7 linked regions of the Ovis aries genome follow. The protein of the gene in region 7 purifies or fractionates together with the protein of the main gene of each other region. This does not show direct contact. Links are inferred from orthologs where the notes say so. Each region holds a gene or a part of one and is shown on either strand. Other genes may lie near its edges.

Region 1 (3,651 bases), on a different chromosome or scaffold from region 7:
AAAGCACATACCACTTATATTTAAGTAACTGATTTATGCATCTTTTTTTGGCGTTTATCTTCATAAACATGGGTACCAGATCCCTGTTCAAGAACACTACTCCCAGAGCTTTTCTCATGGCTCAGTGGTAAAGAATCTGTCTGCCAATGCAAGACACACTGGTTTGATCTCTGGTCTGAAGATACACTGGTTTGATCTCTGGTCTGGGAAGATCCCACATGCCTCGGAGCAACTAGGCTTGTGCCCAACTGTTGAGCCTGTGCTCCAGAGGTGGGGAGCCACAACTCCTGAGCCATGTGCTGCAACTACTGAAGCCTGAGCACCCTAGAACCCATGCTCCTCAACAAGAGAAGCCACCACAATGAGAAGCCCCTGCACCACAATGAGAGAGCAGCCCCAGCTTGCTGCAACAAGAGAAAAGCTCGCTCAGCAACGAACACCTAGGACATCCAAAAATAAATAAATTGTTGTTGTACAGTCACGAAATCATTTTTGACTCTTTGTGACTCCATGGACTGCAGCACATCAGGCTCCTCTGTCCTCTACTATCTCCCGGAGTTTGCTTAAGTTCAGGTCCATTGAGTCAGTGATGCTATCTAACCATCTCATCCTCTACCACTCCCTTCACCTTTTGCCTTCCGTCTTTTCCAGCATTAGCATCTTTATATATATATATGTATGTAAAGAATCAACTCCCTCTTAAAACGTTGGTTCTATGGGAGAATCAGATCAACCTACATCCTTTCACTCAGGATACCCTTTCCAGGAATATAACCTTTCTTGCAGGAGCCTCTGTCCTTTCACTCAAAACCCAGAATGTTAGCAACTCTACTTCCTGCTCTAAAATGAGGAGGCCAAGTACAATTTGTGGATATTTTGGAATAAGTTCTTTTTTTCCCTCCACATACGATAAATCAAGTGACTGCTGAGTGTTCTGAAATAGAGTGGTTATTGGATAAATTATGTGACACAGCTTTTATCACTGGTAAAGGAAAGGAAAAAAGAAACCCTGTAAAACAGAAAGGTCTAAGAAATCATGTGTTGCACTATTATAAACTGTTTGGAACATATAATACTAAAAAGGGATTAGAAAAGAAAAGGGAAGGCTCATTTTAAACAAGTTGAGGGGATGGCATGTTATTCCCAGCTCCACCCTGACCCCCTACTACTCCCCATCCCAGCCAAGAGCCAAGCAGACTTTGAGAGGCTTTGACCCTACCTTCTGATGTCCTGGGAAAGCACCAAGTCTTATTTCAGCATGAACAAACCCTTCTTCGTCCAAAGACACAACTTCACCATTGCCTCCATCTTTCCACTTTGGAGAGGTCAGGTTGTGGGCCAGTTTAATGGCGACTGACTTGTGCACAGTGTTCGTATTTGCCCAGTATATTCCAATTTGAAAAGCTTCCTGGAAAAATAATGCCTCAATTATAAAACAGTTTTCTTAACTTTGATATTTTTACCTCAATTCATAGGAATTTTTTCTACTATAGGTCTACCTAGGCAACCACATCCTTTTTACTTTTTTTTGGTAATGGCAACATACCTTTTATTTCACTTCCCAATGCCTTCTTTGAATCACAGTGGAATTTGTATTTATGGAAGGAGGGAAAAAACATCAACCCAAACTGGGACTACCCTATAAATACCAAAGGCTTAGAAACTGAAGGTTTCATTTTATTTGATAAAAGAATAATATGCAATATTAGGTACATGCAGGTCAACATTCCGATTCTATAAGGTAACATCATATGATTATTTTTTTTAAAAAGAAAAAATGCAATTGAATAAAGATGTTTATAAACTGGAGCTAAAAGAAAAGGACTCTCAAATTGTTCCATATCAGAAAAACATTTTATTTAGGAATTCCATGTACCCTATTCTCTTACAGATTTATATGCTTTCTTGGAACTGGGCTAGCCTTATCAAGAAAGTTCTCTTGTGATGAAATATAAAATCTTCCTATGAAGTTCTGTTTTACAACCAGATTTTTTTCCCCCTTGTTAGTAATGATTCTATGTTGTTATCAATAACAGGTGGGCATCCAAGATTATGGACAGGCAAGTCCACTTATAAAGGAAAAGGGGCCTGACAAAAAAGGCTGTTCAGAAATCTTCTTATTCATCTTGCAAATCTATGAGAGTTTCTATAAAAACTACAAAAACATCTAGAGGGTAGCTTAGCACAGCATACAGCTCTATTTTCTTAACATATCCTGAGTAGAGCAGTCCTAATACTTGTCAAACATCCTGTTGAGGAATGGAAATGAGAATGCAACTAGTACAAGTTATCGAATTTAATGATAACTCAAGCGTGAATACTGCTGATGGGTGGGGAAAAAAAAGACATCTGAGATGTCTTTGAATATCAAAGAACATTCCATACCCCTTACATATGCATCTAGGAGGACAGTTTTCCACAACTGATTGAGTCTGTTAAGAACATAAATGTAACCTCAGAATAAAAGATGGTTGTTGAAAGAAAAGAATTCCTACTAGTTTAAAAAAAGAGTTATAGTACCTGAAAATTAGGAGGGATAATAATTTTGCCAGCAGGAACCTGTAGAACAATCTTCTCTCCCTCAAACAGCCAGAGGTCCCACTTGGACTGATTGATAAGCAGGGCCCAGGGTAGCAATTCTATCAATAAGGTCCTCACATATGGCTTCCAGGCTGACAGCTTCACTCGCATTGGGCTGTCCCACTGGCTCAGTTGCTCATTCCTGTGCCAAATACCACATCCAAAAGACTCAATGAAACATAATGACTTCAGGACTCATGAAATGTGTTTAAGAATTCCAGACACACAACGTTCCTATGGTACCTCTTCACATCAGAGTCATGAAATGCCAAATTTGCATCCAGGAGGAAGAAACTTTTCATGGAATTATGTTCTAGATTAAGAACGAAGCAATTTACAGAATACATCTACTAGGAGATAAAAGGTCAGAATGTGACAGATAGGTGCAAACATTTTCTTTTTTAAAATGTTTTCTGGGGAATCTAACATTTTTGTGAACGTTCATTCATTTAATATTGAGAAATGTTCATAGAAAAACAGTCAAAAAGTGAAAAGTTTAAATGAAAGTTGTTCAGTCATGTCCGACTTTTTTGTGACCCCATGGACTATACAGTTCATGGCATTCTCCAGGCCAGAATACTGGAGTGGGTAGCATTTCCCTTCTCCAAGGGATCTTCCCAACCCAGGGATTGAACCTAGGTCTCCTGCATTGCAGGCAGATTCTTTACCAGCTGAGCCACAAGAGAAGCCCAAGAATACTGGAGTGGCTAGCCTATCCCTTCTCCAGGGGATCTTCCTGACCCAGGAATCAAACCAGGGTCTCCTGCATTGCAGGCAGATTCTTTACCAACTGAGCTATCAGGGAAGCACCTTACCTGTCAGAGTCCTTTTTATTATAGGGCCACGTGGGTTGAAGGAACTTCTCTGGCCCGTAGAACTCATCAAGTATCTGAGTGACTGTGCCTTCGGGGTGTATCTTAGTGGCTATCTGCTTAATGAGGGATGTTGAGATGGGAACAGCACAGTGTGAAGGGTCATCCTCTTCTCTAGGAAATGGAAAGGAAAAACAAGAATGATTATCAGATGTATTATAAACCAATGTGTTTTTTTTGTTTTTTGTTGTTGTTGTTT
Region 2 (4,268 bases), on a different chromosome or scaffold from region 7:
ATTGTATGGAGTGGTAGAATGACGGTAAAAACCAGAATACACGAGAATTCACCCTATTAAGTGGCTGTCTTAAAGTCAAGAAGTGAGTAGGTTTCTTATTTGTTTTTCTCTCCTAGGAGTTGAGTGTTGAGGAGAAAAAGAAAAAAGCCCAGGTTTGCTGAGAGATCCTCTAGGCTCAGAATGATCAATCTTCCTCTGTTAGGAGAAAAGAAGAGTCTAGGGTACAGTCAACTAAATCAAATTTTGGCCAACAATGTTTAACATCTGGAATACCTGGAATTATTCTTAACACCTGGACTTCTTCAGAGAGGATAGTCGTAAAAAGCTGAAAATGCAAAGAACAAACTTTTCTTAAAAGTCTATTCCTAAGAAGATTGTTAGAAGGTATCAATGCAGAAAGAGTGTATTTTGGGGAGAGGACGAGAAACAAAACTGAGAAAGGAATCCCTCCTCCAATTCCACTGGATCACACATGTCAGTCCACCAGCACCGGTCATAGCACCATCTACCGCCACATGGTCCCCACAGCAGCCCAGCTCTGCAGGGCCCCACGAGTTAACACCGAGCCTTGACTTAGCTAAGAAAACTGTTTAGGAATGAAAAAGATGTCACTTCAAAATTAAAAGTGATGAGGAGGGGGGAAACCTCAAAATGAGGGTTAACTCCTAACAATCTTTTCAAATGTCTAGGTAACAGACATCACCTTTCTGTTACGAACACATGATCATTAAGCCACTTTAATTTTTCTTTGCTAGTTACACTATACACTCTGCAGATTTTAAAGCACAGATAAGAATTATGTGTTCTGGCTGATGTAAGTATAAAGGGTACATATATTTATCTTTTATTACCTTTTGACACAGTGCGAACCACCTAACTGCTGTGCTAGCAGCCACAAGGAATTGAAAGTATGATTCTAAAGGATGAGGCTCAGAGCCCAGGTTTCTCCTTATGTCTAGGCTTCTCCCTAGACAAGGAGGCCCTTAAGGACAATGAGGTCTCATGAAGTGTGCCTGCATATGAGCATGTACAGAACTGTGTTCTCATTCTGAGATCTGCTATATCTCATGTATAAGAACACACACAACAGCCTGTCATAAGCAAAACAACAACCCAACCTCAATCCTGATCTAAAACTAAACCGCAGACATAAAACAGACCATAAATTAAAAGATCGGGGATTAAAACAAAACAACCATTTTCCATAGAGAAAAAAAACATATGGACTGATAATAAAAATTATAAATAAAACCAGCTGACACTTCCCTAGCACCATGTCCCGGAGGGCACGATGCTAAGCTCTTTACAGCTTATCAGGTTGTCAAAATACCATCTATAGTAATGGCACAGATTAAATACCATAGGGCAAGACGATGGAGTGTTAACTCAAGGAAGAAGGCTGGCTTACCATTAACTCACCCTTATGTCAGAATAACTGTACTTAATAAATAGCTCATTGGAATGACTAGGAGTGGTGACGTCGCAAAATAAGTACAAGTTAATTCGGGTATTTTCCATGGAACGACTCTAAGTGTAAATTGGAAGGAAAAGGCTAAATAAATAACTTGAGCTCCAACAGGGGAAATGAAGAAAATGGAAGTCGTTCACAGTCATTTACTATTTATACTGCAAAAAATGCTTACTCTACTATCTGCCTCCTCAGAATCAGACCAGCGCGCAGCCCTGACCATACCAGCCACGCAGTGTTATTACAGATGTGTGCCAGGTTGTGAATAGGACGTGGCCGGCAGGAAAAACGCAAAGTTAGCTCCTGTCTCGGGCGAGAAAGAAAGCCTGCTTACTTTTTGTGGCTCAATAAAGCTGAACACCAACTCTCAAGGGGTAAAAAACCGGACATCAGGTGCTCGCTTTCCGCTTTGCAGAGGGATTTGAGCTCACGATGAAGTTCCTCGCTTCCCTCCCCGGCCTGCACCCCGCACGGAGGGAGAGCTGTCACCGCCTGGGTCCCCACCACCACCAGCAGAGCCCGTGGACCAGGCAGCGCGCTCGGCGGCCGGGCTCCCAGCTCCGCGGGGTGATGGGGCGCCAGCGCGCCAGGGGTCTCTTAATTCCATTTCAGATCTGAACGCTTTCAAATAAAGTCCAGACAATTGAGACCACGAATGGAGCCCGAGGGGGTCCCCCAAACCAAACTTTCGGGGCCTCGGAATCTGCATATCTTGCAGGAATTCCCAGCCCACGAGGAAAAGAGACCGATTCTCGCAAAGTACTCAGGACCAGAGATGAGAGGCCGCGCGAGGGGGCCCTGGCAGAGGGGGTCCCGGGCGGAGCCCCTACCCGCGCGCCCAGCTCGCCGGGCCCCCGCTCCGGCCTCCCGCCTACCCCCGGCGCGCGGCGAGCTCGTGGCCCGGAACACCGGCCGGGGTCGGTCTGGGCCACGCGGCCCGCGCGCCCCGTTAAACCGAGACCCAGGCTGGGCGGGAGCTGCAGGGGCGGACCCGGCTGCTCGGCGGCCGCGCGCAGCTTCGGCGTTGTGAGCGATCGGGGCGCGGCGCTGCCCCTCAACTCGGCCCCCGGCCCAGCCTTACCTCGTCCGCGCTCCTCTGTGCAGTTCGAGCCGGGCACCGGGCTCCGGGGACGGCAGGCAAAATTGTCGAGGCCCGCGAGGGACGAGGGCCGGGCCGCCGGGGCCACCGGAGGGTAGAGCGAGGGACTGGGAAGGCCGCGGGGTCCGGGGCGCGAGGCAGCGGGGGGCCGAGCTGGCGGCGGCCGCGGCGGCTCGGTCTGAGCCGAGTGGGAGGACTCTGACTGCCAGCGCCAGGGAGCGAGGGAGGGAACTTGGAGCGAGTTGCCGCGGCCGGGAGCGCGTGTCCCCGCCGGTGTGCACGCCCCCGGGCGCCCCGCCCCCGGCCCCACCCCTCCTGCAACCCCCCCCCCTCCTAGCACCTCCCCCAGATCACCCCACCCCTCACTCCTATCGCACCCCCCGCCCCGCCTCCAAAGCGCTCCCGCATTGGCCCCCGACTCCCTGCAGGTTCGAGAAGCGCTGGATCTTAACTGCCAGGAAACCCCAAACCTGGAGCCTGTTCTGTGAGTGTGAGAACTCGCCAGTCCACCTACCTAGATGTCGGTGCCTGACAACATTTTCTATTGACTAACTTTCATCTACTCAGATACACCCTCTCAATATTTGTAAACTAAATTTCTGAAGGCTTTTTTTTTTTTTTTTTTGGTTTGTTGGTTGGTTGGTTTTGTTTTGCTTTTTTTTAAATTTAATTTTTATTTGAGCATAGTTGCATCTCCTGTGTCTCCTGCATTGGCAGGTGGATTCCTTCCCACTGAGCCACCTGGGAAGACCTCAATACGTAGTTTCTTCATAATGTATCAGTTTCTGCTCTACAGCAAGGTGAATCAGCTATAGGTATACGTAAATCTCCTCTTTTTTGGATTTCCTTCCCATATAGGTCACCACAAAGCACTAAGTAGAGTTCTCTGTGCTATACAGTAGGTTCTCATTAGTTATCTATTTTATACCTACTATCAGTAATGTGTATATGTCAACCCCGGTCTCCCAATTCATGCCACCCACCCTTTTCCCCATTGGTGTCCATACTTTTGTTCTCTACATCTGCGTCTTTGTCTCTGCTTTGTAAATAAGATCATCCATACCATTTTTTTAGGTTCCACATACATGCTGAAGGTATTTTTGAGACTCCAAAAGAGATTTGAAGAAGACATTAGAGAATATAGGAAAAAAATCTTCGGGTACCATGTACTAACCCTAGAGTATAGACCAACTGATGTTTATAAATTAAGTAATTATTTCCGGGTGCATCCTTATTTATCTCATAATGCATGGTTTGGTAATGCTTTTTCTTTTGATTTGCCTAATAACTTGGTTGGGGTTTTGAGGGTTTTATTGTTTTAGGAAGATTAAACCCATTCTTGTTTAGCGTTTACTATTGGGAATGCTAAAAGAGAAAACCTGTATTTATCAAAATGGTTGATTTTGAATGAGATATGAGTTCACAACATAATTACTTCTCTAAAATATGTAGCAAAATTTTATTTTATATCTTTAGCACATTTGAAATGCAGTTGCATTCATCCTGTTTTCTCAGGAGGATCATCTATATTTGAATTATGTGACTCTTGTTTCATGCAAGTTCAGAAATTATCAAATAAAGAAAACTCAGGCTCCCATAATAAATCTTTGGCTTTTTACAAGAGAACCATTTTAAGAAAGTGACATGATACTGGGTTTTCAATGGAACTTTCCTCTGGCATACTAATGTATTCCATGTGAT
Region 3 (4,354 bases), on a different chromosome or scaffold from region 7:
CTATAGAGTCCTACTGTTATTAAAACTGTCTCTAATCTCCATCAGAAAAAGTACTAACAAGTAATGATGATGATGTGCCTCATTTTGAAATATAAGAGAATCCCTAAGGTGATGCTACTGGGGTCAGAAGTCCTAGAAGCCTGAAAAAGTTGCGAAGCATCCCAAGAGAGAGCCCTTTCCCTGCTTGCCTTCTGCCCTGAGAGAACAGGTACTTCCAGGGTTTCACGCCTCTTTGCAGCATGCTTTTTTTTTTTTTTGGTTGCGCCACAAGGCATACAGGATCTAATTCCCCAATCAGGGATTGAACCCATGCCCCTTGAAGTAGAAGGTGCCTCCTGCAGTGGAAGCGTGGAATGTTAACCACTGGACTGTCATGAAAGACCCTAGCAAACTTTTCATTCCCATTCTTCGCACCCTTCTTACACTACAGGACTTTGAAGGAGGCTCATGATGCCAGCTTCAGGAAGCAAATGTGCAGTCACTGACAAATCTGCAAGACCTGGGCTACCAGGAATTCCCACAGGCTCTTACATGAGAAGCCTAGAGCCATTGCCTTCAGATAACCTGGCCTCTAAGCCCTCTCTGGGAGAGATGCTCAAGATATATATATTTTAAAGCTCTGAAATCTAGCATTTTGGAACTAAATGACTCGAAGAGAATTAAGCCCATACCTTTCCCTGCCACACTGACTTATAACGTGTTAAAATAAGTCCATAAAAACTAAACCAACCAGGTAATTAAACAGAATAGGAAACAGACCCTGAAGAGGTGATGTGCCTGTAATTCCTATCTCCTAATTCCCAACAGCTCCTTTTTTCCCTCCAGACTCAAGATCTTACAAAGGCCAAACTAGAACCAGACACATGCTGATCTAACTGCATTTAGTGGCTGTAAGGAGGGGCAGGCAAAAACCTAAAAAAGATACTATCTCCTTGTTGCCTATCCCCTACCCATCCAAGCCCTGCCTGCAGACGGGTCCGAGTCCCGACATACTACTTTCAACCCTAAAGTTCTACCCCAGGCTTCACGGTCAAGAAATTGTATCAAGAAAAAAGGAAGGAGGTACACGATCATTAACGGGTTCTTAAACCCTTTTTCCTGCCGCCTTCCAGGAAGAAGGGGCGAATCTCCGAGGAAAGGGGCCTGCAGATTCTGCAGCCCTCGCGGTGGCCCCCTCACTTACACAATCCGAGGACATTTTGCTCATCTTCCGGGGGACTGTGGACCCTGGTCGGGATCCTCCTCCCGGGTATATTCGAGGCTCCAGGGGCCTTCAAGTCCCCAAACCCCGCCCCACAAAGTCCTCTGAAGTCCTACCAAGTCACTCCCATGGTGTCGTGCCAGGAAGATGGGAGGATCAAACAAGTGAAATGCGCTGTGCTCCAGCAGCCCACAAGAGGAGAAACCACCTCGCTAAAGCGAGCTCCAATGGAGGCAGGCGCTCCGGAACTTACGTAAAAACACAGCGTCCAGTCGACACGCCCACGAGGAAGGGCGTGTCTGGGTCCTTCGGTGAGGTCACTGCCCGACTCCGCCCCGCCCCCGATCCCCTGGTTCGCCGGTCAGGGAATTCCCATTCGCCTGGGCACCCTGGACCCAGATCCATGAAACTAGGAAAGTGTATCTCGGACTACAACCACTTAGAGAAGACAACGTTAAATTCGGGAGGACCCAGCTCCAGGACCCGTGAGCTCTTTTTGGGGGGGGGGGGGGGTGGGACGGGGCTTCTGGCACACCCGGCCTCCAGACGCGAGGGGGCGCTGTGAGCTCCGGTGGGCTCTCGGGCGCTGGGTGTTTACCGCGCAAGCGCACTCGGGGCCTTTTTTTCCTCCATACCCACGTGGGAAACTTCACGGCTTGGTTTTCTAGAAAAATGCCCAAGTTCAAGGCGGCCCGCTCGGCCGGGGGTCAGGAGAAGCATGCGCCGCTGGCCGAGCAGATCCTGGCTGGTGACGCGGTGCGGGCAGGAGCCCGAGAAAAACGGCGGGGTCGCGGAACCGGAGACGAGGAGGAAGAGTACGTGGGGCCCCGGCTGACCCGACGGATTTTGCAGCAAGCGCGGCAGCAGCAAGAGGAGCTCGAGGCCGAGCATGGGAGCGGGGACAGGCCCGCGGTGCCGCGGGAGCGCACCACGCGGCTGGGTGAGTGGGGGGGATGGGGTACGAGGAGGAGGGTGGGTAGCTGGGGCGGACGGCTGAAAGGTGTCTGGCAGGGGAATAACTTGGAATTAAAAAACAACAACAACAAAAAACTGAGGCCCTTGGCAAAGGTAATGGGGTTGGGAGACCCAGCTCTGGGGCAGATTGAGGGTTGCCGGAGCCCTCCACGCCCATTCCTTAGAGTGGCACTCTTATAGGCATCACCGAGGTTAGGCCAGCAGGAAGTGGTTACTCACGCCGCTAAGTTCTCCTGGCATTTATTTACGTGTTTTGTAAGTAATCATGGAATGTCTACTACGCACATCCCGCCGTGCTAGGAGTTTAGATGGTTTAGATAAAAAACTGTAAACAGGGTAAAGGTATACCTAACGTCAGGATCTTCCAGTGTAGCCCGAGAGAAAGAATTAAGTAAGCAATTAGAATAATGCACTCGTGATAAAGTATAGCTTCTCTGACAATAGCATTAGTCTTGGGAGTCAGGTTTCCCAGGTTGCATGACCGTTGTGCTGAGAACTGAAAAGTAGGGAGTGCTCTGAGCACAAAGAACAATATTGTTTCAGGACTAGAAAGGGAGCGAGATTATTTAAAAGATGGTCATTTTTCTCGTTATTACTCTGAGAGTGTTGACCTCCAAGTTGCTTAATCCATTTCTCAACACTCATCTTTCATTTGTCTGTGAGCAGCATTCACAAACGGAGAAGGCAATGACAGCCCACTCCAGTACTCTTGCCTGGAAAATCCCATGGACGGAGGAGCCTGGTGGGCTGCAGTCCATGGGGTCTCTAAGAGTCGGACACGGCTGAGCGACTTCACTTTCACTTTTCACTTTCATGCATTGGACAAGCAAATGGCAACCCAGTCCAGTGTTTTTGCCTGGAGAATCCCAGGGGTGGGGGAGCCTGGTGGGCTGCCGTCTGTGGGGTCGCACAGAGTCAGACACGACTGAAGCGACTTAGCAGCAGCAGCGTTCACAAACACTAGCCTCCTTGCTACAGTATCTTTACTCCGCTTCTAAGACATCACATCCCTGTTTTGCTAGTTTTTCACCTCAGTGGGCTTCCCAGGTGGTGGAACCCACCTGCCAATGCAAGAGATGTTGGTTCAATCCCTGAGCCAGGAAGATCCCCTGGAGAAGGAAATGGCAACCCACTCCAGTATTCTTACCTGGAGAATCCCATGGACAGGGGAGCCTGACAGGCTATAGTCAGGAAAAGTCCACAGGGTCACAAAGAGTCAGACACGACTGAGTACACGCACACACCTCTCAGTATCCTTTGCTGGCTCCTATTCTCCCGCTTCCGACGCCTGCTGGTGGGATCTCAGTTCCCCTACCAGGGGTTGAACCCTGAGCCCCAGCAGTGAAAGCCCAGAATCCTTACACTAGGCCACCAGGGAGCTCCCTTTGCTGACTTCTCGTTTGTTGCCAGCCTCTTCCTGTAGTGCCACAGCATTACATCCTTGGAGCTAGTCTCTTCACCTCTGATGACTTCCCTGGTGCTGTCATCAGGGTTGAGGTTTAAATACTGTCTGTTTGGTAACTGCTTCCAAGTTCATATTCCAGCCTCGATCTCTTCCATGAAACCCAAAGTCTTATATTTCAGCTCTCTCTTTAGCTTCTCCAATTTGAAGTCTAAGAAACATCTCAGATTTAGCATGTCCAGAACAGAAATCCTGACCATCTTGCCAAACCTGCTCCACTCCCAGTCTGCTTCATCTCAATTAATGACATGATGTCCTTCCATTTGCTCCAGGCAGAAAACTCTAGACTTGTCTCTTTCTCGCTCCATATCCAATCAATTAGGAAGTCCTGTTGACTCTGCCTTAAAAATATATCCAGAATCAGATCAGTTGGCACCATCTTGGAACACCATCCTGTTCAAACCACAGTGATCTCTCACCTGGGTGACTGCAGTAGCCTCTTACCGAGAATCCCGTATCTGCCACAGTCTACTCTCCACTCAGCAACTCAGGATTGCCTGATCTACAGAGACCTATATGATCTGTACCTGTTGTCAGTCTGACCTCTCCTGCTCCTTTCCCTTTGCCCTCTTCTCTCCATCCGGGTCAAACCAGCTAGTTCTAAAAGAGATCAGTCCTGAATATTCACTGGAAGGACTGGTGCTGAAGCTGAAGCTCCAGTACTTTGGCCACCTGATGCGAAGAGCTGACTCATTGGAAAAGACTGATGCTGGGAA
Region 4 (4,107 bases), on a different chromosome or scaffold from region 7:
GTATCCGGGACCCTACACGCGTATAGGAGACCCACTGCACACCGGGGACACTTCCCCACGCCAGTCCCTTCCCCGCACTGGCACACCCACACACATGTAGCACACACCTGTGGACAGGGACTGTACAGGCACATAGGGACCTGCACACACAAGGGACTCCACACACACACACACTGACCCCCGCTTACATGGGACCCTCCGCTCCCGATGCACATAGAAACCCAGGTCCATACAGGACCCTACAAGCACATGGAGGCCTGCACCTGCTGTATTTAGGCGCACGCCCGCGTCCATGCATACAGGACGCTCTGCTGCACAGACTCTGCACGCAAGCAGGGCCATCCCCCACAGAACCCTACAACATACAGGCAGCTATATGAGCACCCAGAGTCCCTCAGAAACTGGGGGCTCTGCAAGTCCCTGAGCCCCGCACACTCCCGCCACACTTGTGTGCAGGCACTCATACACACACTCCCTTCCTTAGCTGCCCCAGTCCCCCAGCCTCCCCCACAAACACTTCAGATTCCTCCTCAGAACCCCAGTTCCCCATCAGACCCTCTCTGAGGGGCCCTTACACGACGCAGGCCCTGCCCAGCCCTTGACCATTTGCCCAAGCCCATGGCAGCACCTGCCGCTGCCCTCCCACCTCAAGCTCTCTCCCTCCCCCGCCACAGTGCCCATCCATCTTTCAGCCCGTCTCCAGTCACTTTCTCCCAACTTTCAGGGTCATTCCCAGTTGCATTTGCTCCTTCCCCAAACGCTCAGTGACATCCACGGTGGGAACACAGGTGTGCGCTCAGGCAGCACCCAGGCAGCAGTGCTGCAGGGGAGGGGGCAGCGACACAGCCTGGGGCAGGTGAGGCCCCCCTGGGGAAATGAGTCTGGTGGTCAGCCGAGTAGGCCAGGGAGAGAGGTGTTGTTCCTGGGCCCCGACAACATCTCCTATCAAGGCCAAGACGAGAGAGGGGTGGGGTGTGGGGGGAGGGCTGGGGGCAGTGTGGGCACAGAGGCTTCTGCAAGGCCAGGTCGTCTCAGGCTGCTGTTTAGGACAAAGCTGGCTAAGCCCAGTGGTCTGAAGCTGGGAGATGGGTACCAGACTTCAATCCTGGGGTAAGGATGGGTGAGCCAGGCTGAGGGGGCAGGGACGTGAGGGCAAGGGGGATAAGCTGTGGCCAGATGTTCTTGCCAAGCATTCCCACCCAAGCTACTGGGCACACATAAGCCAAGAACCAGGGGCAGGTGGGGGGACAAGGAAGCCGGCAGGAAGCTACATTGGGGGTGATCCTGTGTTCCCCAGTTCGGCACCTGCTGTCTGTTCCTGCAGGTCCATGTGATGCTGTCCCCACTGTCTCTGCCACTCTGAGCACACCCTCCTGACCTTCCCCTCACCCAGGAGAATGAGCAGTAAGAAGGGGGCACTCAGAGCTGCGCCAGGGAAGTCCTTCCCTAGAGCCAAGCCACGGGCCCCTGCCGGTGAGTGTGACCCCTCTGACCTCCAGCCTGGCTCAGACTCTGACTTGCGACACCTGCTGTGCAGCCGCCCAGGAGCCTTCCCTGAGACAGAGGAGTCAGAGCTCAGATGTCCCTTCAAGATTCTGACCCTGGGACTGTACCCCTGGGGTTGGGGTCCCGAGGACAGTGTTCACAGCATAACTTTAGGACACGTGGAGACAGGCAGCAGGCCTGTGGGGACTGAATATAGGTTCTGAAACAGCAGGGCTTCAACCCACGGTGGGGACTCTCAGACGGTGTGTGGTCCCCTCTGGCCCTCTTCACCACCGAGGCCCTACTGTGCTTTTCCTTGGCTGCTGCTCCCTCAGGCCATGCTCTCTTTAGCCACTTCCAGGCTGAAAGGTGACAGCTTGCCCTTGGCTCAGTCCCGCCATGGGCTAGGAAGTGCATCTCCTCCCATGTCTACCCTGACCCACGGTCACTCTTCTCTGAATCCCATTTCTTCTGTCACAGCACTATCTGAGTTCTTTGCTAGGCTGCCAACACCTTCTAGGCTGCAGCTAGGGGTCCTCCCCACGCACAGGCCTGTACTGGGGTTTGTGCTTGGTAGGGGAGCCCCACACCCTGTTCCCCAGCTGCAGCCCCCCTGCTTGAGCGGGCCTGGACCCCAGAGGCCTCCCAGATCCCCAGACCTGGCAGGATGGTAGTGCCCACTCTTCCTCGCCAACCTGGGTTAGACCCTAGCTCCCCAAAATAGCCCCAGCTGCGTCTGAGGCAGCAGTGCTCCTGGAATGAGGATGATGGCTCAGGTGGCTTCCGCCATCTCATCTCAAGCCCTGGGAACAGGCTCTGCAATAAACAGCAGGCCGGGCAGGTGGCCAGGAAGCTGTGTCAGGCGGGGGAGGGGATGCTGGTCCTGCCTGCTGACTGTCCAGCTGGGCTCGGGACCCGGCCCTCACCCCACATGTCCCAAACACTGTGCTGGACAGTTCCTGCCCCGGCCCACCGGGCCAGGATGCCTGGGTGCTCTGCAGAGACACGTCTGCCTCAGTTTCCCTGAACAGTCCCCGCCTGGGCTCCCTCTGCCTTCTAGCATCGGGCCAGCCTGGGAGGGCTTCCTGTTGAGTGGTCCTTGCAGTGCCCCGTGCAGTGGGCACCACCCTCACTTTGGGCCACAGATGTGCCATGGGTGTTGCCACGGTCGCCACACCCCCGGGATGGTTAGCCTCCTCCACCCCAGTTCCCTCCAGGCCTTACCGGGTCTTGGGTCTGCAGCGCCTCAAGGCCCTCGCTGCGGAGCTGCTCCAAGGCCAGGGCTAGCTCCAGCCCCTCCACGCGCACCCAGGCCTGCTGCTCCTGGAGCTGCTGCAGCCACAGCTGCTCCTCCTGCCACAGCCGCATGTGCAGCTGGGCCTGCCGACGCCGGTCCTCCAGCAGCAGCTGCTCCTGGGCCAAGCACAGCTCGACCTCGTGGAGCCTCAGCAGCTCCGGGCCCAGGCCTGGCACCAGGCCGCCCACCCCGTAGCCCTCCATGTCCGCAGCGGGCACCAGCACCAGCTCGGACCCCACAGCAGCGGCCTGCTCCGGCCTCTCGGCTCCCTGTGGCCGCTCTGGTCTGGCCACCTTGGGGTGCCCCCGGGGAGCCAGCTTGCTGCTGGTCACGTGCCCTGCGGGGGCCACCCCCGCCTCGTCCCCCAGGCAGCCTGGGGCGGGGGGCGGGGGCCTGGCCTCAGGGCCCTGCTGCCCCATGGCCTTCTTTGCCCTGCCCGCCCTCCTGGGCCGGGGTTTGCGAGCTCTACTTCGTTTGCCAGACATGCCCCCAATCTGGCGCCTGTTTTACCAGGTGTCTGCTCCTCGGGGGCCCCGACTCATCTGCTGGCCAGCCTCAGTCAGGCGGGCCCAGGGGGCTCCCCTGAGAGGCCACGGTGGGCCCTCCGCTCCTGCGGCCCCTCGTGTCTGCCCTTCCCCTGGGCTGGCACCCCGGCTGAGGCGCTGACCCGGGCTCTGTCTGTGGGCCTCACAGACCCACTCCGCGGGCTGGGCCACGCCAGGGAGTTTATAGGGACTTGGCGGCGCGGTTGCTCACCCGGCGCGAGGCTGACTAACGCGCTGACACGGCGCAGGGCTGCTGGGGCACAGGCCTCTTCGGCCAGACTGGGAGGGAGACTGAGAGAAACCAGAGGAGGCGACTCGGCAGCCAGACTGCAGGCTGTGTGTCGGGACGCGTCTGGTCCTGCCTTGGGCGGGCACCAGTGCCCCCCCACCCCGTCCCACCCCGTCCTCTCCTGCTCCCGGGAAACTCCAGCTGCAGCCCACAGGGCTCGGAGCCGCGACCCGGGCCGCGCCAACCATCCAGGCAGGGTGCTTACTGGTTACAGACTGCTCTAACCTGACTGCCACAGGAGCCCCTGGCCCCAGCCCCCAGCCAGTATGGGGGGAGAAGCCCACCTGGCGGGCGCGGGGAGCTGCGGGGGACGGGGCGTCCTGTGCAGTTGATGGACCCACTGCCCCCTCTGAGGGAGACTTCCACTGGGGGCTGGGGGCGGGATGGGGGTGGGAGGGTGGCGCGGGCAGGGACTGGTGGAAGAGACTGGACGTTGGAAGGCCCAGATAGCATTTAGTGGACTGACGTGGGGCAGTAAGGAAGAGGCCGGC
Region 5 (3,925 bases), on a different chromosome or scaffold from region 7:
AACTCTTTCTTTTGCCCATGCACAAAAGAGACTAGATGAAAACAGGATTCCACTGGCATGCCAGCGCTGACAAGCAGGGTGTAGAAACTAGTCGCATTGCCTGCCACTGGACTAGGAATCTGGGATAATTGTCACTGCCCTCTTTCGCCCCTACTGCAGGATATCCGATTGCTAAATCATTGCCAATACACCCATCTGATGAAATTAGGCCCATGAGGCCACTACAGTTAATATCAGGGTGAATCCAGGATGCACACGGAGGCCTTCTCGGGCAGAGAAGCACAGAACTAAAGTCTTTGTCTAAACAGCTTTTTCTCTGAAAAAGACAACCCAGAGCACATGAAGAGACCTGAGATTGCTGGCAAGTTTTCTCATTCAAACTGTAGAGCTAGTGACATAGATATTTATATCTCTAGAGAAGGTGTGACCCTGACACTTTTTTGATGTCATCTAACTTAAATATTTTCTTTTATAATTTCGGTCATCTACTTTTCCACCCAAGACTATTAAAAAACAAATGCATAAATAGCTATGAGGTGCGTTTACTTGTAACACATTCCTAGAGTTAAACAGAAAAATGCCAGAGAAGAAGGAAAAAAAAAAAGACACGAGCAACCACCAAACAAGATTTTTTTACATCCATTTAATGCTAAGAACACAGATATCCTCAAAAAGGGACACACCTAAGAAACAAGAGTTTTGAGGTTTTTTCCTGAACAGGATTTTGATCATGAAAACTAGCAATTCAAACCTCTAATATGAGCACATAAGTCTAAAAATGCAACATATTTAACCTCTTACCTGAATTACCTGAGAACCCTGAAACATTCTCTTGAAGAGCTATCCATATTAAAACTGTGCAAAGAAGCTGTACCCATAGTGTTTAAACCATAAAACCAAGACTGGGTTTATACATGATAAAAATAAAGATAAAGCACATAAAATACTATGCAGTTCATCGAATTCAAAGAAAATCAGAGTGAAGGAAAGGCAATGAGGACAGGAGACATTCCGCAAAGTGGGATGCTCCAGTGACATCTACTGCAAGCCTGTTTGAGGCCAGGAGCTCTGAATGCGTAGAGCCGTCACTGATAGGATGGATAAAGCATGATTTCTCTAACCGCCAGCAAGTTAGCGGATGATCTGGCAAAACTTCCAGAATTAAAACCGAGGTAGTTTTCGGTAAGGAATGTTTTTCTTGAAAGCATGGCCAGCATGTGGTTGAGCCGGGACCTGATCCCAGCAAAGTGAAACTGTCTCTCTTTATTCAAGTTTCTGAATGAGTCTCTGAAGCACAGATCGAAGTGGGGGGTGCTCCAGTACTTGGGGTGTCCAGGCGTGGCAAAGTCAGTGGATCTGAAGGAAGTCTGGGAGCCGATGGAACTGGCCACAGAGCCTTGGGAGGACAGAGAGGAGGAGGACCTCAAACTGGAAGAGCGCGACACAGACATCTTTGATACTGGTGACCCTTCCTTAGACTGGCTTCCGGGAGAGGCGAGAACACCCTCGTCCACGTCAGTCTGGGTGGTGGCTGATGTGGTGGGGACCACGGTTTGGGAGCTCACCACCCTGGTGGCCACTGTGGTCTGGGTCCCGGCGCACGTTGTGGCCGCGCTGGCTTGTGTCCCCACGTCACTTGTGATCACAGCAGGCGTCTCCTCTCCGGGCTCTGTCTGAGTAGCGGCATCAGTTGCCCTCCTGCCCTCCAGCCTGTCCCTGCGGCTGCTGAAGTAGTCCTCCTCGCTGATGGTGGAGGCCTTGGAGGCCCCGCACCCAGCCTCAGCCCGGCCCTCCTCTCCACCCAGCTCGGCCTTCCGGGGAGTGCTCGAGAGCCTGGCCAGCCGCAGCCGCAGCAGGTTGCCCAGCGTGAGCTCCTTGGACAGCGGTTTCTGTTCGACAAGATGGTCAAACCTGCCGCTGATCCGGAAGCTGGACAGGAGCTTGGAGCTGATGGGCTTTGACTGTGCATAGAGGATTCGGAACTCCAGGTCAAAGTGTTCAACCACTTGGCCAGACAGAATCACCAAGTTGCTGCTGTTTAGTTTGCCATCCGTCCATGTAAAACTGCAGGATTAGAAACAAACAGAAGTTGATAAGGATGATTGATCTTCATCTACTTACCGTCAACCTGATTATAAAGCCCAAACATCCTGTGACATAAGAGTCACAATTCAGGTGACAGCACCCTACCATGCAGTGTGAATTCCAGCTAGCCTTAACACAGGATATAACCTAGGAATATGTTAACATTGAAGTCAAAAAGGGACTTCCCTGGCAGTCCAGTGGTTGAAACTCAACCTCCCATTGCAGGGGGCACATGTTGGATTCTTGGTCAGGGAACTGAGATCCCACGTGCTAGAGGGCTCAGCCAAAAGATTAAAAAATAAAAAGACCAGTATTCAACCAAAAGGCTAAAATGTATGATCCTTGGCCTCAGAGTTGCTAAAAACTAGAAAGGGCTCCTAAGATGCTGAGGGCAGCGCCCTCCTTTGAGGAGTGAGGTACGTGCCTAGCGATGTCCCAGGGGAAGCTCGTGGTAGAGCCTAGACTGGGCCCCAGGCCTTGAGAACCACAGGGGCATTGCTCCTCACTACCTCGCCCACGCTGCTGTTTCCACAGAGGAAACAGGCCTGACATTCGAATGATGACACTGTTGCTCAACACACGTGCAGAGCTGATTAGAGGCCGCGCACCCCTGGCAGTTCAGTGTGCCGCCTCCTTCCTATGGTGACAGGGCCCCACTCATGCTAGCCCAGCCAGCTGCCTGGAGGCACCCTCTCCAGGTACAGCAGGGCTGGGCAGGTGACCCAGGCTGGCCAGAGTATCCCACCCCTTAGATGAGGGGATCTACGCAGGGTGGGTGGTAAGCCAGTGAGAGCCAAGGAATTTTGCAAGGCATGATACCATCAGAGAGGGAGAGAGAGGAAGTCTCTCACTTTTATAAATAGCTACTGAAGTTCACATGAAGGGAGCCTGGACCTCTGTCTGCAAGCAGAAAACCTGACTAAATAAAGATCCATGAGAGGACTTCGCTGGTAGTCCAGTGATTTAAGAATCTGCCTGCCAATGCAGGGACATGGGTTCAATCCCTGGTCCGGGAAGATCCCCTGTGCCATGGAGCAGGTGAATCCCTTCTCTCCAACAAGAGAAGCCACCACAGTGAGAAGCCCACACACTGCAATGAAGAGTTGTCCCCACTCACCGCAACTAGGGAAACCCCATCTGTGGCAACGAAGTCCCAGCACAGCCGGAAAAAAAAAAAAAGAAATCAACTAGAAAAAAGCAGAAATAGGACATGGTGCTCTGATAAATGCATGGCCCCTAGGTCAAGATGAGCTGAAAACCAACGGTACCTTTTTCAAGTTAGATGAGACAGTAAATTCCATTTTGCATAAAGTAGTTTGAGCCAGCTTTCTGTACCAATGCAATCACCCCACTGACTCAGAAAAATTTGTATCAGGAGTAGGGTGTTTACAGAAGAAATCATAAAACATAGTAGCAACTCTGTCTCTTGTAACCAAGAACCCAGGCTAAAGCAAATTCACCATGTGACAACTGCCTTCAGAGCTGGAGAAGAAAGATCCTTTTGAAAACCATCAGTAAGATCATATAAACAAGCACCTTATCCAGCACCAGGATTAAAAAAGTCCTCAGCAAATGAAACCTATCCTTATCCTCATCCTCAATGGAAGCATATTTCATTTTTAGGAGGTAGTTGTTGGAGCCACTGTGTCCTTGTCTTTTGAAGTAAAATGCCAACTTAAGAGTTAATGGTTGGGAAATGTGAAGATGTAGCAACAAAGAACTGTTGAGCTGGGGAACTGGTAACAATTTAGACTATAAATCTGCCACAGAGCAGAATCACGGAACTCCTAGTTCCCTGAAAGATAGAGATAAAGGCCTGACAAACATCCCAAATTGTTTC
Region 6 (4,154 bases), on a different chromosome or scaffold from region 7:
CCCCCACTCTTCATTTCCCCAGGCTGCCTCTGGTTCTTCAGCATAGAGACTTCAGGTTCCCTGTGAGCAATGTCAATGGTGGGCTCTAGGAGGGAGAGATCCATCTGGAGGCAAATGGTCACACACTCTCATGGGGAGCCTAGACTTCTCAGCCTTTGTTCATCCCAAACTGCCTTTATACATAATCTTTTCTTCCATTTTTCCTTTTACAGACCTAACGCACTGGATGGATGGATGGATGGATGGGAGGGAGGTGGCGGTGAGCTGTTGACTTAGATGTTTATTTGATTTACAAACTTCTCTGTCCTTGTCTTTGTTCAAATTGTTCCCTGTACCCGAGGCCTTTCTCCAGTATCCCTGTAGCTAATCACATCTACGACTGAATGTCCAGTTCAAAGGACATATCCACACAGCACTCCCCAATCTCCACTGTCCCATTTAGTAGTAGTAGCTCCAATCTAAATTCTCTTGATCTTTTAGGTATAAATATATACAAATATACAAATAATATGATGCCAGATAGGTACATGCTATAAATAAAATAAAGGGGCAGGGGAGAAAGAATGATGAAAGAGGCAGTGTAAGGACACAGAAAGTATATGGCAAGACCTCCCCAAGGCAGTGATTTGTAACACAGTGTGTTTAAGTCAACACAAACTATTTCAGCACCAACATCTATTTCAGAAAAGAGTCTGCTGCACTGGTTTTTCATTATAGATATTATTTTAGAGGGGACAATATTTCACACAAGATGCTGACAGGTGTTTACAAACAGGTGCAAACTTCCAGTCACACATATTCTGAAAAAATGTTAAGAGTGATTTGTCAGTGAGAAGTCTGAGGCCAAAAAGCAGCTGAACTACAAGAATTTTAAATGAAATTTCAAGAAAAAGACTTAGTAACTCTTCAACTCTAAGCTGTACGTTTACTTTCTGTCATGTATGAAAAGAACAGCAACAGGAAAACACACTCGAAGAGAGATCCTGCAGTTTTCATTTAATGATAGAAAAATTAGTCTGGGGAATTCCCTGGCAGTCAGTGCTCTCACAGGTCCGTGTTTGATCCCTGGTCACAGAACTAAGATCCCACAATCCTCACGGTGTGGCCCACCACCCCGCATCCCAAAAAAGATAGAAAAATTAGAATATCCTACCCCCCTTTAGAAGTCACACTGCCTACATGACTTAAAGAAAAACAGCACACACTAAAATTTTCTTTCACAGACTTATATAAGAGTTTGGAGGGCTCAATTCCTTCAATCACTTAGAACCAGGAGGTGCCTTCACACAAAAATCTAAGGGCCAAAGTACTCACTTCCCTTTCTTCCTCAGATTATTTTGTTGATTCCTCAGTACCTTGAGTGAAATATCTGTGGTCAATACTCTTTTTCAAAACTATTACTCTGATTACAGTCAGATTTTTTTATTTCCCCGATTACAAAAATTCCCTCTTTCATCTACACTATTGTCCTATCTGCTTTGACTTTTTTCTTATCTAATGATCCAAATATTCTTGCAAGCCAACTTACAGATCCCCAAAACTTATTTCTGCTTCAGAAATTCTTAAGTCTTTTTGAGCCATGGGTCTCTGGTAGTCTGGTGAAGCCTATGGACCCCCTTCTCAGATTGCTTTTTAAATGCATAATTAACTATATGCGACCACAAAAGAAACTAATTATACTGAACTATTAGCAAAAGAATGAAAAAAAAAAAACCTGATATTTTAATATATGTGTACCTTTATTATCAAATAACAAGGTCTAACAGTGGGTCTGATAATACCATAATCCAAAGAAATTATAAGCATAAATGATACTTTAAAAATGTTTTACTGGAGTGTACCATAAATGATATTTTAAGATACCTGCAACAACTGTAAACAAGACACAAAAATATCTATTATTTATGTTGGTGACAAAGTCACAGGCATTGCTAACTCTACTGTGGTTTGTTGCTTATAATGACAATACAGTTATCAGATAATAAAGACGTGTTTTGTTCTCATTCTAGTTCAAGGAGCTCCTGAATTCTAACCACCAAATGGTGAATCCCAGGTTTAAAATCCTTTCTAGTTTAAAGCCTCGCTCAAACTGATTTTTAGCACAAATTTTAAAATTAAAACACTGAGTTCTCCTTTGACTTACCTCTCGTCTGAACGGACCACCACGCCTCCCTGTTTTTACGCAGATTTACAGACAGAACTACCTGTTTATTTCTCTGCTTTGCTTAGCCAGCACCCGTTTAAAATTTTGCCAGTCAATGAAAGACGAAGTTGAAGGAAAGGCGGTGGAAGCAACCGACAGCTTCTTATTTACAGACCTCCAACAGGAAGTGGAAAGATGCCAAGTATGGTGTGTATGTTTCTGGTAGGTGGGCTGCCCCTCCACCCCCAGACCGTTGAGTCCAGCTTGTCAAGAGTCTCCGAACCAAGACATCTTCACCAGCGGCTCTCAGAGGATATTGCACCTTCTCGCCTCCCATTCTCAGTTCTCCAGCTGCCAGGTCGCTCGCCTCTGTTTCTCCCTTCCCATCCCATCCCCCACGCGTCCCTCCCTCTTGTCCGCCCCAGGCTGCCTGGTCCCCTGCGCGCCGCCTCCTCTCCCCTCTGGACCGAATCGTGTGCCCCCGGCCCCACGTCTCCCCTCGCTGGAGGGAAGGGCCCAGGGCCCAGGGGTTAGCTGCACCCGGTGGCCCGCCGTCAGGCGCAGGCTGCGGCCCTAGGCCGGAGCAGCACCGCCGCCAGGCAAGGAGCCCGCGCACTGGGCGCGGGGTGATCCGGGACGTGCACTTACCGAGAAGATCATGCGGAGAGGGCACCGAGGTCTGCGTCGGACCGTCACTCGGCCTCGGAGCCGTCCCCTCGCCGCGAACTGCCACGGCCGCTGCCCCCGCCGCCGCCACTCGCTAGTTGGCTTCCCTGCGTCCTGCGGCGGCGCTGCCGCCAAGTCATCGCGCTTGCGCAGAGCCGCGGGGACCTCTGGGACTGGTAGTTCGGACCCGCGGCCAGCGGCGCCTCTTCCGCTTTTACCCCCCACCCCCCACCCCCGAGTCCGCCGCGGGCTGGAGCGGTCTTCCGCGGCTGGGTAACCGCGAAAGGGCTTCCGGAGACTTGTTAGCCAAAGACCCGCTCTTGCTCTCGCGTACGGTACCGCTGAATGTTAAAAAATCCGTCTGAGCATGTGTAAAGTAAAACAATTTATAGCATTTATGTTTTAGGTGACAAGTGTCACTTGGCCTGAACACATCATTCGAAACCCATATGGCTCTTTCTTCCTACTTTCTGTTAAAAGTGTCACTAATTGCCTTTAATGACACCTAGGTTTTCAGTCTTAAACCTGATTTCCCACTATGTTTATCAAATTTTACATACTGTAAACTTGACCATACAGTTTTTAGGTCGATTGACTATTTATTTAATACAATCTTTTAAAAATAACAATTCACATAGATTCAAATGTCAGGTTAACTGAACACTCCTATAAACCTTAGAATTGGAAGACACCTTAAAAGTCATTAGTCCAACTTCCCCCCGGGCATGAATTCCCTCTTGTACACTCCCTCCAGATAGGCGTCCGACTTCTATTTCAACAGTTCAAATTTCAGAGCGCTCACTTCCTTAAGTAAGACAGCCTGCTCAACTGTTGGGCAGCGTTTAATGTTAGAAAGTTCTCCTGCTGAACCAAAATCTATTTCCCTTTTACTTCCTTCCACTGCTAGTAGTTATGCTGCTTACAGCAATATAGAATATTTTCCCCTTGATAGTCTTTCAAAAACTTGAACACAATAATTATATCCTCCAACACTAGGCGTCTCCAGACCAAAAAAAAAAAAAAGTGATAATTGTCAGTTTTGCAACAACTTAAATATGATTCAGCTCCCAGACTGCTTTCCATATTCTTGATGTAGTATCTTTAGAAATTGTCAAAATTTGCCTCGGATTTATTGCCTTTTTTTTTTTTTAATCACAAGAGCATTCCGTGGTAAGCTCGTCAGGTATTATTGCTATCATATTGCCATTCAACTGACTCAAGAATTCGATTAGAGATTATTCCACAGCTCTATTATAAAACATTGTCCAAACCAACCAGAGGCTTCCTTTGTGGTTCAGATGGTAGCTGCTGCTGCTGCTAAGTCACTTCAGTCGTGTCGGACTCT
Region 7 (4,325 bases):
TGCGCATGTCAGCACAGCAGGCTGCTGGGAAGGGAGGCCAGCTCTGGGCCTTCTTGGTTCATAAGGCATTTAGCAAGCTGAAGGACAGCTCTTAACCCTCAGCTTCAAACATCTGAAAGCGCTACAAAGTCCAAGAAGACCCCAAACCCCACACTCAAAGCAAGGTGGAGGAGGAGTCGTCCAGAGTGATCTGACCTATAGCAAAGTGACAGCAATTGGAACAACTTTTAATTGTCATCATACTATAATTTGTGGGACATAATTTTAAGATGAGAACCAAATTCCTCATTCCTCAACTAATGACTAATTAATTGCCTAAAAAATGGGGAAAAAAAAAAAAAACCAACAAACCCAGAAACAACAGTGGTACAGATGACTCAATACATCCCATGGTCCTTGGACCATAAAGACTGAGAGCTGAAGAATTGATGCTTTCGAATGGTGGTGCTAGAGAAGACTCTTGAGAGTCCCTTGGACTGCAAGGAGATTAAACCAGTCAATCCTAAAAGAAATCAACCCTGAATATTCATTGGAAGGACTGATGCTGAAGCTCCAATACTTTGGCCACCTGATGTGAAGACCCAACTCACTGGAAAACACCCTGATGCTGGGAAAGACTAAAGGCAAAAGAACGGGGTGCAGCAGAGGGTAAGATGGTTCGATGGCATCACCAATTCAATGGACATGATTCTGAGCAAACTCTGGGATATAGTGGAGGACAGAGAGCCTGGTGCTGCAATCCACAGGGTCACAAAGAGTCAGACACGACTTAGCGACTGAACCACCTCTGACCCACTTTTCCAGTCACATCTCAATCTAACAAGACCATGTCACATTTTTCTCAGTGAGGTAGCATGTAGCCTGAAGCCACCACTACATGGTGCCAAGAGCCAAGGCTGATGAAAATAACTGGTTGTATCCAACTGCACACAAGTAACTCTAAGTGTACTCCAATGGCTGGGCCATGTGGGTACTCATAACTAGCGCTCAAGAGGCACAGTCAATCCATCTTAGGATAAATGTGAAGGAGAAAACTGAAGACAGATCCCTCTGGGACCAGTCAGCATGATGATCTGTATCAAGCACCACTGGTGTGTCCAGAACAAGGTGAGGCCCAAAGGACACACTTGTGAATAAGCCTACAGGGTCTCCTGCAAAACTCTCAACTTCTTTGTGAATGACCTGGTGACAGTGTTCCACACTCTGACTGAACAAAGTTTTGGAAAGCAGAGGGCTGTCTGGCAAGGTTTCAGACCAGAGAACACAAAGTTTCAAAACACTGACTTTTTCCTATCAGTGTAAAGGTGGCTAATGGATTGGCTTTTCAGTATGGCTCCTAGATCCTAGGTTAAAACTTTTGCCAAAATCTATTGTTCTATAAATAAGGCAAACAGCATGCATTTACCCAGCACTTTGCCTCCCAAAACACTGCTGAGAAGGCAACTGCTGACTACCGGACATAAATATTTAAACAGCAAAACCCAAGTGTCTCTAAAGTGTATTCTACTCAGCAGGGCAGTACAGCACACACGGATGTGACAGGTTTCCCTGTATGGTAAGGGTACCAAAAACAGTTAGGAACTCCCCTAAGTGCTGATTCCTCTTACACTGTCAGCCCAGGAGGTTGTGCATCCTTTTGGGAACTATAGCCAAGGATGGGGCAGTGAGCACACGGACTTGGGACCATCTGAAAGGCATAACCCAGAAGCATTACTGACAAACGAAGCTATTCCTGACCCTCCCTGACACCAGCCAAACAAAAACACCAGAGCGGGCTGCGCAAGCACAGAGCATGTTTACCCCCAAACTTGCGCAATGAGAGTCCCTCTGCACACGCAGGGGTAGGAGTAACTTATATACAATTATTCCTTTGGGAAAACCCAATAAGGTATTTTTAAACTTTCAACTGTAAGACTCAAGACCACCTTTTATTACACACATGTATATGCGCTTTCTTTCACTGGAAATCTGAAGCCATCCGGAACGTTCTAATCTTTCCCCTCGTCTACCTGGAAGAATTTTCATAGCAAAAGGGTAAGCTAATGAGTAGAGCTTTGCCACTTTATTTGCCTCTAAGTCTGCCAACACCCTAACGCTGACTTTGTCCAGAATCACCTGAATGTCATTCTCGATTAAGCCGAGGTACCTAGTACGGAACTTGGATGCGCAACATGTTCTCTACGACCACTCGACTGGCCCCCAGGCGACCCTGTGCGCCACCTGCGGTCTACGACCCAGGCTCCGAGCCAGAGGGGCTGGTCAGCTGAGGCCGCACCGTCACGAGGAGCGCCGAGGAAGCCTCGGCCAGCCCCGGACTCTTCTCGTGCCCGCCGCACGGGCGTAGGACGTGGGAGCCGCACTAGCCGACGGCCTTTGTCTGCCTGGGGGGGCCACTGGGAGCGGACACCAGGCGGGGCAGGCAGAGCGGGCAGCGAGGGCCTAACCGAGGCTCCCGGCCACTGCTCAGAGGCCGCGAGCTCAGGTTAAGCAGGTGCCCTCGGAGTGGGGTGGTGGGGTGGAGGGGCGAGGGTCAAAAAGGCCAGAAGTTCCTGCCTGGGGAGCTGGGAGATCCGAACCAGCGGGGACCCGGCTCACCGCCCGCGGCGAAGAGGGTCGGGCCTGGGGTTCGAGTCGTCGGGGGCGGGGTCGCCGGGGCGGAGGCCGGAGCGGAACCGGGGCCGGCGGACGCCGGTTTGGGGTGGCCCGCGCCGGGGGGAGGGGCGCCTCACCGAGATAGATGTCTCCGAAGGAGCCGCTGCCGATCTTCCGGCCCAGCCGGTACCTGTTCCCCACTCTAAGCTCCATGACGGCGGCGGCGGGACCGGTTTACTCCTGCCCTCCCGGCCGCTTCCTGGGTCTGAGCTCGGGGAGGCGGCGCCGCTGCTGCCGCTACTGCGGGTCCGGCTGCCGGCTCCGCCCCCCTCACGGCCCCGCTTTCACCATCGCTTTTCGGTCGCCCCGCCGCTCCCAGCGCCTCAATACGGGGCGGATGAGACAGTTCGAGCGCCGCCGCCCCTGTCCCGGCCCCCGCCGGCCCCGCTCGCCCTCTCCCCGCCGCGGATGGACTCGGATCTCCCGGGCCTAAATCTCCCTTCAGCTGCCTGAAGGAGCCGCCGCCATCGCGCTGTGACGTCACTTCCCCTAGCAACCCAGTGGGGCGGGGCTGTGCTGGCCGAGGGGCGGGGCCGCGGCTTCGGGCGGAGGGGCAGGCGGCGAGACCGCGCAGCCTAGGGGCAGGGCTAGGGGCGGGGTTAGGGGCGCGGCCGGGGCCTCGGGAGAGAGCCTGGGTGAGGGCTGGGCCTGGAGCCAGTGCTGTGTCGCGTAGTCGCGACTCACGGGTGTCTCAGTCCTCCCCTTTCCTTGCCCCCTGCCCACCCCCGTCCAGCAGTCCCTGGCCGAGAGCCCCCTGCCTGGTCCCTTTCCGCATGCAGGATCCACGTGCTCTCGCAGGGACTTCGTTTGTCCCCGCAGGTGTCTGGGAAGCCAGCGTCTCCTCGCGACAGGCATGGGACAGGCTTCCAGGCACTGCCCTTTGCCGGAGGGAGAGAGGGGACAGCCTGTCTCTCCAGGCCCCAGACCCACGCCTTTGGGACTCTCGGCGGCTGGGGTGGTGGGTGTGGGGACGCCCTTCCCTGCACAGGTGCCTGCAGGAAGTGACACAGGCCGGGACACAAGTGTGCACAGGTTTCTTGGGCTGGCCAGGGCGTGCACTGTGCAGTTCCCCTCCCACCCTATGAGCCAAGCCCCGGGCCTACAGCAGGCTCAAGGGCCGACAGCAAGCTCAAGCCTCTGTCGGAAGGAGGAGCAGTCCTAGGACCTCTGGCGTCAGACTGAAAGGTGAAGCTGACGTTACCGTGGTTCAGAGGATGAGACCTGCATCGCCTGCCTCTCCAGTTCTGTCTCCTGGAAACTGGATCTCCGTTTTCATTTAATCTGCTTTGGCTCTTCAGAGAGGCCCCTGAACCAAAAGGAAATGAGTTTCACCTGGATTCTTCTCTCGGCCTATCTCCTACCCCAACCAAAAAGAAGGAACCATGAACAAGCTGTTATTGCATATTTTTGGACAGCCAACAGACATACTACTCTGAGCACAGGGGTTACATAGAGGTGTGAGTGAGATAGCTGCACAGGCTGTTGATTCTGGATCATCATCTCTAGTTGCAGAGGAGGAAACTGCCTGGTCTCTCCATTCTCAAGTCTTCCCTCTCCACCACTCTGCCACAGTAGTGCAGCCCGTTTGAACACTATTGGTGGTCAGGTTGGAGGAGCAAGCATCAGTTCCTGAATGTTACATAGTAGTGCCGGAAGACAGTATGAGAGGCTTC

What was found.
Region 1: the proteins of CSNK1D (region 7) and VPS13B purify together in Homo sapiens (affinity purification with mass spectrometry; 3 studies listed by BioGRID and IntAct, counting the BioPlex papers as one, with this or other methods). This does not show direct contact. The link is inferred for Ovis aries from reciprocal best matches to the Homo sapiens genes CSNK1D and VPS13B.
Region 2: the proteins of CSNK1D (region 7) and FAM110B purify together in Homo sapiens (affinity purification with mass spectrometry; 3 studies listed by BioGRID and IntAct, counting the BioPlex papers as one, with this or other methods). This does not show direct contact. The link is inferred for Ovis aries from reciprocal best matches to the Homo sapiens genes CSNK1D and FAM110B.
Region 3: the proteins of CSNK1D (region 7) and BYSL purify together in Homo sapiens (affinity purification with mass spectrometry; 3 studies listed by BioGRID and IntAct, with this or other methods). This does not show direct contact. The link is inferred for Ovis aries from reciprocal best matches to the Homo sapiens genes CSNK1D and BYSL.
Region 4: the proteins of CSNK1D (region 7) and FAM83H purify together in Homo sapiens (co-immunoprecipitation; 5 studies listed by BioGRID and IntAct, counting the BioPlex papers as one, with this or other methods). This does not show direct contact. The link is inferred for Ovis aries from reciprocal best matches to the Homo sapiens genes CSNK1D and FAM83H.
Region 5: the proteins of CSNK1D (region 7) and FAM83D purify together in Homo sapiens (affinity purification with mass spectrometry; 4 studies listed by BioGRID and IntAct, counting the BioPlex papers as one, with this or other methods). This does not show direct contact. The link is inferred for Ovis aries from reciprocal best matches to the Homo sapiens genes CSNK1D and FAM83D.
Region 6: the proteins of CSNK1D (region 7) and GAPVD1 purify together in Homo sapiens (affinity purification with mass spectrometry; 5 studies listed by BioGRID and IntAct, counting the BioPlex papers as one, with this or other methods). This does not show direct contact. The link is inferred for Ovis aries from reciprocal best matches to the Homo sapiens genes CSNK1D and GAPVD1.

Annotation. Positions count from the first base shown.
Region 1 is NC_056062.1:77,433,240-77,436,890, forward strand, and holds part of VPS13B (intermembrane lipid transfer protein VPS13B), read right to left. Parts: intron 3,567-3,651; coding exon 3,396-3,566; intron 2,723-3,395; coding exon 2,521-2,722; intron 1,409-2,520; coding exon 1,220-1,408; intron 1-1,219. UniProt on the Homo sapiens protein: Mediates the transfer of lipids between membranes at organelle contact sites. Binds phosphatidylinositol 3-phosphate. Functions as a tethering factor in the slow endocytic recycling pathway, to assist traffic between early and recycling endosomes.
Region 2 is NC_056062.1:37,289,990-37,294,257, reverse strand, and holds the start of FAM110B (protein FAM110B), read right to left. Parts: upstream 2,802-4,268; 5' UTR 2,550-2,801; intron 1-2,549. UniProt on the Homo sapiens protein: May be involved in tumor progression.
Region 3 is NC_056073.1:15,720,959-15,725,312, forward strand, and holds the start of BYSL (bystin), read left to right. Parts: upstream 1-1,527; 5' UTR 1,528-1,686; intron 1,687-1,869; 5' UTR 1,870-1,873; coding exon 1,874-2,141; intron 2,142-4,354. Other genes in the region: MED20 (mediator of RNA polymerase II transcription subunit 20), read right to left, coding at 1,318-1,331. UniProt on the Homo sapiens protein: Required for processing of 20S pre-rRNA precursor and biogenesis of 40S ribosomal subunits. May be required for trophinin-dependent regulation of cell adhesion during implantation of human embryos.
Region 4 is NC_056062.1:13,979,756-13,983,862, reverse strand, and holds the start of FAM83H (protein FAM83H), read right to left. Parts: upstream 2,943-4,107; 5' UTR 2,854-2,942; coding exon 2,710-2,853; intron 1,474-2,709; coding exon of another isoform or gene 1,398-1,473; exon of another isoform or gene 1,325-1,397; intron 1-1,324. Other genes in the region: IQANK1 (IQ motif and ankyrin repeat domain-containing protein 1), read left to right, coding at 1,398-1,473. UniProt on the Homo sapiens protein: May play a major role in the structural organization and calcification of developing enamel. May play a role in keratin cytoskeleton disassembly by recruiting CSNK1A1 to keratin filaments. Thereby, it may regulate epithelial cell migration.
Region 5 is NC_056066.1:67,743,199-67,747,123, reverse strand, and holds the end of FAM83D (protein FAM83D), read right to left. Parts: intron 2,065-3,925; coding exon 1,086-2,064; 3' UTR 624-1,085; downstream 1-623.
Region 6 is NC_056056.1:10,762,799-10,766,952, forward strand, and holds the start of GAPVD1 (GTPase-activating protein and VPS9 domain-containing protein 1), read right to left. Parts: upstream 2,948-4,154; 5' UTR 2,792-2,947; intron 2,285-2,791; exon of another isoform or gene 2,144-2,284; intron 1-2,143. UniProt on the Homo sapiens protein: Acts both as a GTPase-activating protein (GAP) and a guanine nucleotide exchange factor (GEF), and participates in various processes such as endocytosis, insulin receptor internalization or LC2A4/GLUT4 trafficking.
Region 7 is NC_056064.1:50,100,943-50,105,267, reverse strand, and holds the start of CSNK1D (casein kinase I), read right to left. Parts: upstream 2,860-4,325; 5' UTR 2,806-2,859; coding exon 2,730-2,805; intron 1-2,729. UniProt on the Homo sapiens protein: Essential serine/threonine-protein kinase that regulates diverse cellular growth and survival processes including Wnt signaling, DNA repair and circadian rhythms. It can phosphorylate a large number of proteins.